Ovis aries: one gene and its partner. The protein of the gene in region 2 interacts with the protein of the main gene of each other region in a pairwise test. Links are inferred from orthologs where the notes say so. Each region holds a gene or a part of one and is shown on either strand. Other genes may lie near its edges.

Region 1 (4,174 bases), on a different chromosome or scaffold from region 2:
ATCAAGATATTGTACCACTAGGCATGCTATGCAGAAACTAGTTTCTCCTTTAAGGATAAAGTCATTCAGCACAAAGGAAAAGAAACCAATGGATCACGTTTCAGTTACGTCTTCCACAGAATAGGATTAGGCCACCAAGAGCAAACTATGGCAGCATCAGATTCAAACACTAGTAAGACAGTTATTTGTATATTTTGTGAATTCTAGTTTATTAACTATTATGTATATAACAATTTAAAAAATGAAATCTTTTGGAAAGTTTTAGCTTAGCTTAGCTGTAATCCCAGTAGTGAAGAACATACATTTTTGCTATCTTCTATTAATAGAAAAAATTGTTAAGGAGGGAGTTATACGCTCACAAGGACCACAACAATAGTGACAAAAGTAATTTCAATGAGAAAATCTTAGGAGAAAGGTGAAACTTCTGCAAAAAACCCTCCAGATCCCTGAGTTAGCTACTGTTTTGACACCAAGATATTCTCATTCCAGAATGGGCTCCATACTGTTATTTCCCTTGCAAAACCCATCTCAAATACAATCTCCTTTAGAAAACCTTCCACGATTCCTCCAAAAGGCATGAATATAGAATTACTAACACAACAAGGAGAGATCAATTACGTACTTTTTGAATCTGCCCTACCTTCACAACCACAACCCTAGTACCATCTTCTCTAGGTGGTTTCCCCACATCCATTCTTGTTCCCATCCAATTCAGTTTCTACACAGGAATCAAGGTGACATCTTTTTTTTTCTTAATGACAAGCAGCTTACGGGATCTTAGTTCCCAGACTAGGATCAAACCAGGCCCTCGACAGTCAAAGTATGGAATCCTAACCACTGGACTGCCAGGGAATTCTCTTTTTTGTTGTTTTGTGTTTGTTTTGTTTTTTGTCAGGGTGACCTTTTTGATTAAGATACAGATTTGATTATGAGACTTTCCTGCTTCAAATGCATCAAGACCTCCCACTATTCTTCAAATAAGATCCAAATACCTTGGATAACATGACAAGGAGTTAACTGCAATGTTCTCTCACTACATTTGAAAAGTTTGAAAGTTTTGGTATAAACATTTTTTAAAAAAGAAAAGAAAAAACTGGTTCCCAAAACTTAACATTATTTAAAAGGCCCCACATCATCTCTCTGGCCCGAACTAACCACAGTCCCCTCAATTCACCTGTTCTGATCTTCAGTTCCCCAAACATTCTCAAGTCTTTGTGGAACTGATTTCCTTTGCCTGGATCTTTCTTTCCCTCCTTTTGAAACCGTTTTGGTGTCCTTTCTGGGGGCAGGGGTGGGGTGTGGGGTCCAAAGAGCTCCAGTACTGGGAATCTCCTTCACCTAATTTCCTACTTATCCATAATAACTGAGCTCAAAGATGACCTATTCCTAGGAAAATCTGAACTGATTTCTTCAGTCCCCGGTTATATGCTCACACAACACCGAACATTCCCTCTTTTCAGCTTCTTTCTAGGTAGAGGATGACATGGTTAGATAACTATCTAACCAAAGGACAGGAGTTTGAGCAAACTCTGGGAGACAGCAGAGGACGGAGGAGCCTGGCTTGCTGCAGTCCATGGGGTCGCAGAGTCGGATATGACTTAGCATAGGAAAAACAAGTTAGGTAAGTAGGCATTTACTTGTGTGATTATTCGTTTCCTCCAATGACACTGCACAAACGTATAATGGTCACTGTCATAGCGTCAGCACTCAGCACACAATAGGTACTAAAAACATTTGAATGATAAATTTAGTAATTAGCATTAAATATTCCGTAATTAAAGTCTTCATGTAAAGTACGACACGCAGGGCTAAAAGTCAGTGCTCAATACGTAGTAGTTTCTGCCTTGCATCACTTTTGTTGTGTGCTTAATTACTCCCTCCATTCTGCACACAATTCTTATTCATTTTTTGGATTCCACCAGTGCCTGTCTCTGGAGAAGGCAATGGCAACCCACTCCAGCACTCCTGCCTGGCAAATCCCATGGACAGAGGAGCCTGGTGGGCTGCCGTCTATGGGGTCGCACAGAGTCGGACACGACTGAAGCGACTTAGCAGCAGCAGCAGCGCCTGTCTCTAACTTTACCTTATAAACAGAACCAAAACACACCTGAGCCACGACTATGAAATAAGGAAGCTTGATTTTCACGTCGCTTATAAAATCGATCCCATTTTACAATCCCACATTAGTAGAGGCTGCCAGTTTCCTATCTTTACTTTCAATGATCTCAGATTGAGTACGAAGAAACCAATGCTGGAAACCACACTAACGTTCGTTATTGCTAACAAGCAACAAACTGCAAATAAAAATGGACACAGAGGAAAAGAAGAAATTAAGTAGGAAAAGAGAGACCATCAAGTCTACAAAATAAAAGTGAGTTTTAAGAGCCAACTAATGAAGTTACCTAAGAAAGGTCCACCCCACACAAACATGCGCTTTATTTCTGCGCTGCGAGTCTGCATTTTGAGAACAGAGAACTCGAAGTTTCCGAGCGCCCGCAGAGAGAGAAAACCACCGGGGCGCGTGCCCGGAGTCGGCGGCCCCGGAGCCGCGCCTCACCTGCGCGGGCCCCGAGTCCGCCCCGCCCGCCGCCCCACTGCGCCCTTTCGGGGTCGCGGACCGGAGCTCCGACTAAGACGGGGCAAGGCGGCTCCGCCAGACCCATCCAACCCATCCACCGGGCCCCGCCCGGCGGCCGGCCCGTCCCCTCACCCAGCCGAGCTCCGGGAAACTCACCTCCCGGCGCGGCCGCTGGAGGGGGCCGCGCCGCGCCGTCGCCTCGCGGCCTCGGTCTGTCTGCTCAGGGGCCGCAGGCGCCGCCGCCGCCGGGCTGGAGCCCCTCAGATGAGGAGCACCGCCGCCCCCAGGCCCAGTCGAGCTCGGCGGCCGGGCCGCTGGAACCGCGCGCGCCTCCCTCGGTCAACGCCGCCGGGCGCCGAGTACGCGCCGAGGCTGGCTCTGCGCAGACCCGAGCGCGCGCGCGGGGGCGGGGCTGGCGGCGGCGGCGGCGGCGGCGGCGGCGGCTCGCCCAGTGGCCCGCGCCGATGGCGGCCGCCTCCTTCCTCCTGCGGACGCTGCTGCTTCCTATCTCTCCACTCGGCGCGGAAGACGCAGGGAGCTAGGTGTGGGCTCATCTCAGAACTCAGCACCAACTTACCTGTGTACTTCGTCAGCCTCTGATTGAATCTGCGGAGAGATTTCCCTGCATCCTGACCATGTTGAACTTTACCTGAGCCCCGAGATGCCGGGAAGCAACGGTTAAAAGCACCCACCCCCCGCCCCTTCCGTCCCCCCGCGACCCTTTCGTGTCCCTGGAAGGTCTGACAACAGGAAACCACACTTCCCCCCGCGGTTTATTCAGACTCACGGATGTCCCCTTGTTTACCCATGACAAGGTCAGACATAGACCCTCCAAATAGCCGTTCTCTTTGCTTCATGATTGATTGTCTTTACTGATTGTGCCCACTGACAATCTGGACAAAATACCAGCTACCTTGTTTTGGCCAAACTTAAGATTCTCTCCTTCCTCCAGGCTCCTAGAACTTGGACCCACTCTCAGCTTGACCTAGCCTACAATCCCCCCTTCACCATCACTGAAAAGTAGGCTGACCTCCACATAAACCACCCTGATCTGCTGAGTGATCAACTGCCACCTCCACGCATCCATCCCCCTGGCCCTATGCCCAGTTCTGTGAAGTCTTTGTTCCTCCTCCCTATAAAAGAAGGGCCCTTTTCTGTCTGCCTACAATGCGGGAGACGCTGGTTCGATCCCTGGGTCGGGAAGATTCCCTAGAGAAGGAAATAGCAACCCACTCCAGTACTCTTGCCTGGAGAATCCCATGGATGGAGGAGCCTGGCAGGCCACAGTCCATGGGATCGCAAAGAGTCGGACAGGACTGAGCGACTTCACTTCACTTTTCTGACTAACCCTGGAGGTAAGTTGCAGGCCTCTGTGATAGCATTCCCTGATAGTGATGGTTGTTGCCTCAGCTACCACATCTCATTGCAGTAGTTTCTTTTCCTCTTCTTGGAATAATCCTTTCCAATAGTCTCTCTTTATCTAAATCCAGGACTTTTTTGTTTGTTTTGGACAACTGTGTTCCTCCCTTTGTATTTATCCTCTGGCTTTATTTCTGTAGTCTCTCCACCCCTCCATCCCACCCTTATTCCCATTTG
Region 2 (3,572 bases):
GGGAGAGCCCGCAGAGAAATTGGTGTTGGGAAGTGGTTTAGGTAGTTTATTTAGGTAGTTTAAACTGAGTTCAGACTCAGGCAACCTTGATGTAGACAAGAGGGATTTGGATTTGTCCCATGTCTTAGCATTTCTTGGTTTTAACTTTTTGAACCAACTCCATGGAGTTGTGTATCTTCGCAGAGATAACCTTGAAACTCCATTTGAGCTTGAGCTTCTTTCTGGTGAAGATTCCAGATCTGATAGTGTTTTCTGTTCACTTTTTTCAAATATGGTGGTCTTTATGCTTTGCATTCCTGTGGTGCACAGAATGCTCTGGCATTCAGCAGGTTTAGCCAGTAGGAAGGGCAATTTCTAATGATTCTTCTTCATAGCTTCCAGGCTTACTCTGTGGGGCTTGGGGCCTCTCCAAGCCCCATGGGAGGTCATCTTACTGCAAGAAGATCAGCAAAGAAAGAGTTTGTGCTATGTTCTACAATGCTAATCATTCTAAACCTCAGATACCATATGCCAGACAATCATATCTCACTTAAGACAGTCCATTTTGCATTCAGCATCTCACTATCTTAAGATAGTAATCCTCTGAGATGAGTGCTACTGTAGTCTCCATTTTATATCAGCCTCCAGAGAGGTCAAATCACTTGCCCAAGATCACAGCTAAGTGGCAGGGTTGGAATTCAGACCCAACAGGTCTGACTGCAGAGCCCCTTCTCTTAATCACTATTCTATACTGTCTAAGACTATTTCCATTTGTCTAATTACTGCTCAGCCTCCACTTTTATTTTGTTTTCTTAGTTTCCTGACCCTAGGCAAGATCACCTGGGCGTTACAGCAGGGATACCATTACTCGGAATACCAAGAGTTGCTGAAATAGGAATTGTAATATGTACTTGATAAGCATTCTTGATCTTGGCTGACTTTCTTTTTGTTTGAGCTCTATGTGGGGATAACTTCATCAATGCACTATTTCATTCTTAAGTGTGAGTTTTAGAGACTGGTGGGGACGTTGCTGGAATTTGTTTTGGAACTGACTTCTTTTTCTCTTTCTAGTTCAAAAGGCGATGATTTATCAACAGCCATTCTTAAACAGAAAAACCGTCCCAATCGGTTAATTGTTGATGAAGCCATCAATGAGGACAACAGTGTGGTATCCTTGTCCCAGGTAAGTTGGGTCCACAGTCCAATCTTTGCTTATTGCATTTAACCTGAGGGCTTTTCCCAGGTTTCTTTTCTCATTTTTCTTGCAGTGACCACAGATAGAATGGGGTTTACTGGGAATCCCAACCTCCAGGGCTGCTGCTTATCCCCTGGCCCAATGACCCAAAGGCCTTAACCTTCTTTCCTCAGCCCAAGATGGATGAACTCCAGTTGTTCCGAGGTGACACAGTGTTGCTGAAAGGAAAGAAGAGGCGGGAAGCTGTGTGCATTGTGCTTTCTGATGACACATGTTCTGATGAGAAGATTCGAATGAATAGAGTTGTTCGGAATAACCTTCGCGTACACCTGGGGGATGTTATCAGGTGTGTGTGGAGTTCTTGGCCCCTCGGGGATGGGAGGCCAGAGACTGCCTGCTTTACAGGCAGTACCCCCATAAAGGCCTTGGCAACTGCAGATATTGGGAGCTTATAGGCCATGGGAAGGCTTAGGTTTCTAGGTTGTCTTTAGGTTTTGGGTCTGCCTCTGGGACTTCAAAATCTGCCTCTTCATGATCCTTGGAACAGGTTGGCATTTCTTGACTTTCTTGGTACCTTTATTTTTTTCTGCCAGGGGTCACACCATAGAACTTGGTTTAGGATGCCATTTGAGGGCTGTATCTGCCAAATAAGCTTATAGCCTTGCATTGATGGCTTTTGTCAGGGCTAGAATGAGATGGGAGTATGGGCATGGAAGGTGGACTCCTAGCAGGTTTGTATAAAGATCCAAGCTAATCGAGGTGAGAGGCATAGTTTGAGCCAGGCCTAGGATAGTTCCAGTTTGAGTGATTAGACTTTAGGCAAGAGGTTTCTCCGTCTTGAAGTCATCCCTGGCCACTGCTACCCAGGCCACTGCTACCTGTCACCTGGCCAGGAACATCTCAGGCTTCAGATTCTTTTGGGGGGGATTCTAGGTTTTATGGAGCCTTCTTCCTGGAAGTGCTTAGTCACTTTCTCAAGGTGCTCTGACCACCTGACTGAGATGATTTTTTCACATGTATTTCTCTGACCCTGACACTTGTCAGACTAAGGTCCCCTTTTGTAGTGTTGGGTTACCAGTAGTAACCAGAATGGGTCATCCTTGGATATGTCTCATTGAAGACCTTCCCTTCTGTGTCTTCGTGGGGATTCCAGATGTGTGGGTCTTTCTTTTGCCTCACCAATTGTGAGTGGGCAGTCTCAGCAGCTTCTTCTAGAGGCTCCCCCTATCACTCTACCCTGCATATGACCTGTTCTGCTTGGCTGTTGCTTTGCCCTCACTCCAACACTACCCTCTTGCCTCTCTTCACCTAAAGCCATCCCTGCCTTTTCTCTTTCGCTCGCCATCAGCTCTCTGTGCCAGGCCCTTTTGGACACCCAGAGCTTGGGGCTGCGATGTGGTTGGTAATGTGGAGTCTGCTTGTCATCCTCAGCATCCAGCCATGCCCTGATGTGAAGTACGGCAAACGCATCCATGTACTACCCATCGATGACACGGTGGAAGGCATCACTGGCAATCTCTTTGAGGTTTACCTTAAGCCATACTTCCTGGAAGCTTATCGACCCATCCGGAAAGGTGAGAAATAATTCTAAGGACTGAACTCAAGGGCAATTGTTGTAGGGATACCCAAAAGTAAACCTTGGTCCATCTTTGTCTATTCTCATACATGTGTGCATACATACACATTCTGTACATGTGTACTTTCTCCTTCCCTGCTTCCTTGCACTTCCCTTTTTCCCATTCCCACTGTTTGCTCCAGTACAGTAAGCTATCTTCTCTTGTATCTCTGAAGGAAGAGGTGGGCAATTTGGGGTGTATCACAGTCCACAGTGTATTTAATACTTAACGCAGTTCTGCTGGTGGTGGTTGTGCAAGCTTGGGTTATCTATATCCCAGAAGTCAAAAATCTTATGGGTTTCTTCCTGGCACATCAGGTTTTATTCACTGTCTTTTAAGGGGCAGAGAGACTTTTCACAATTCAGCTTTCTCTTTTTGCCTGATGCTTAATAAGATGTGGATGGGAAGGAGAAAGGACAGTATCTAGTGAACTTGGCATTCTAGATCCCAGGTTCTGATGGGGAGTTCTTAGCTTGGTCTGGTGATAGATACCTCTGACTGCTCTTGTGCTGATTGCTCTCACAGGAGACATTTTCCTTGTCCGGGGTGGAATGCGTGCCGTAGAGTTCAAAGTAGTGGAGACAGATCCCAGTCCTTATTGCATTGTTGCGCCAGACACAGTGATCCACTGTGAAGGGGAGCCTATCAAACGAGAGGTGAGTTCTCTTCCTGATCCCAGTATCCCACTTTGTGAGTGCTCAGCAAGGCAGTAGTGTGGTAGTTCCAAAGAATCCTCAGGCTTGATGGTTAAGCTACTTCCCAGAGGTGGAAAGCATAGCTAT

What was found. The genes of interacting proteins can lie anywhere in the genome.
Region 1: the proteins of VCP (region 2) and UBXN2A interact in binary tests that used the Homo sapiens proteins (3 or more experiments, as listed by UniProt). The link is inferred for Ovis aries from reciprocal best matches to the Homo sapiens genes VCP and UBXN2A.

What each region holds. Positions count from the first base shown.
Region 1 is NC_056056.1:31,665,399-31,669,572, reverse strand, and holds the start of UBXN2A (UBX domain-containing protein 2A), read right to left. Parts: upstream 2,801-4,174; 5' UTR 2,461-2,800; coding exon 2,403-2,460; intron 2,295-2,402; exon of another isoform or gene 2,108-2,294; intron 1-2,107. UniProt on the Homo sapiens protein: Acts to repress the ubiquitination and subsequent endoplasmic reticulum-associated degradation of CHRNA3 by the STUB1-VCP-UBXN2A complex in cortical neurons.
Region 2 is NC_056055.1:53,402,387-53,405,958, forward strand, and holds part of VCP (transitional endoplasmic reticulum ATPase), read left to right. Parts: intron 1-1,050; coding exon 1,051-1,162; intron 1,163-1,347; coding exon 1,348-1,520; intron 1,521-2,605; coding exon 2,606-2,748; intron 2,749-3,315; coding exon 3,316-3,446; intron 3,447-3,572. UniProt on the Homo sapiens protein: Necessary for the fragmentation of Golgi stacks during mitosis and for their reassembly after mitosis. Involved in the formation of the transitional endoplasmic reticulum (tER).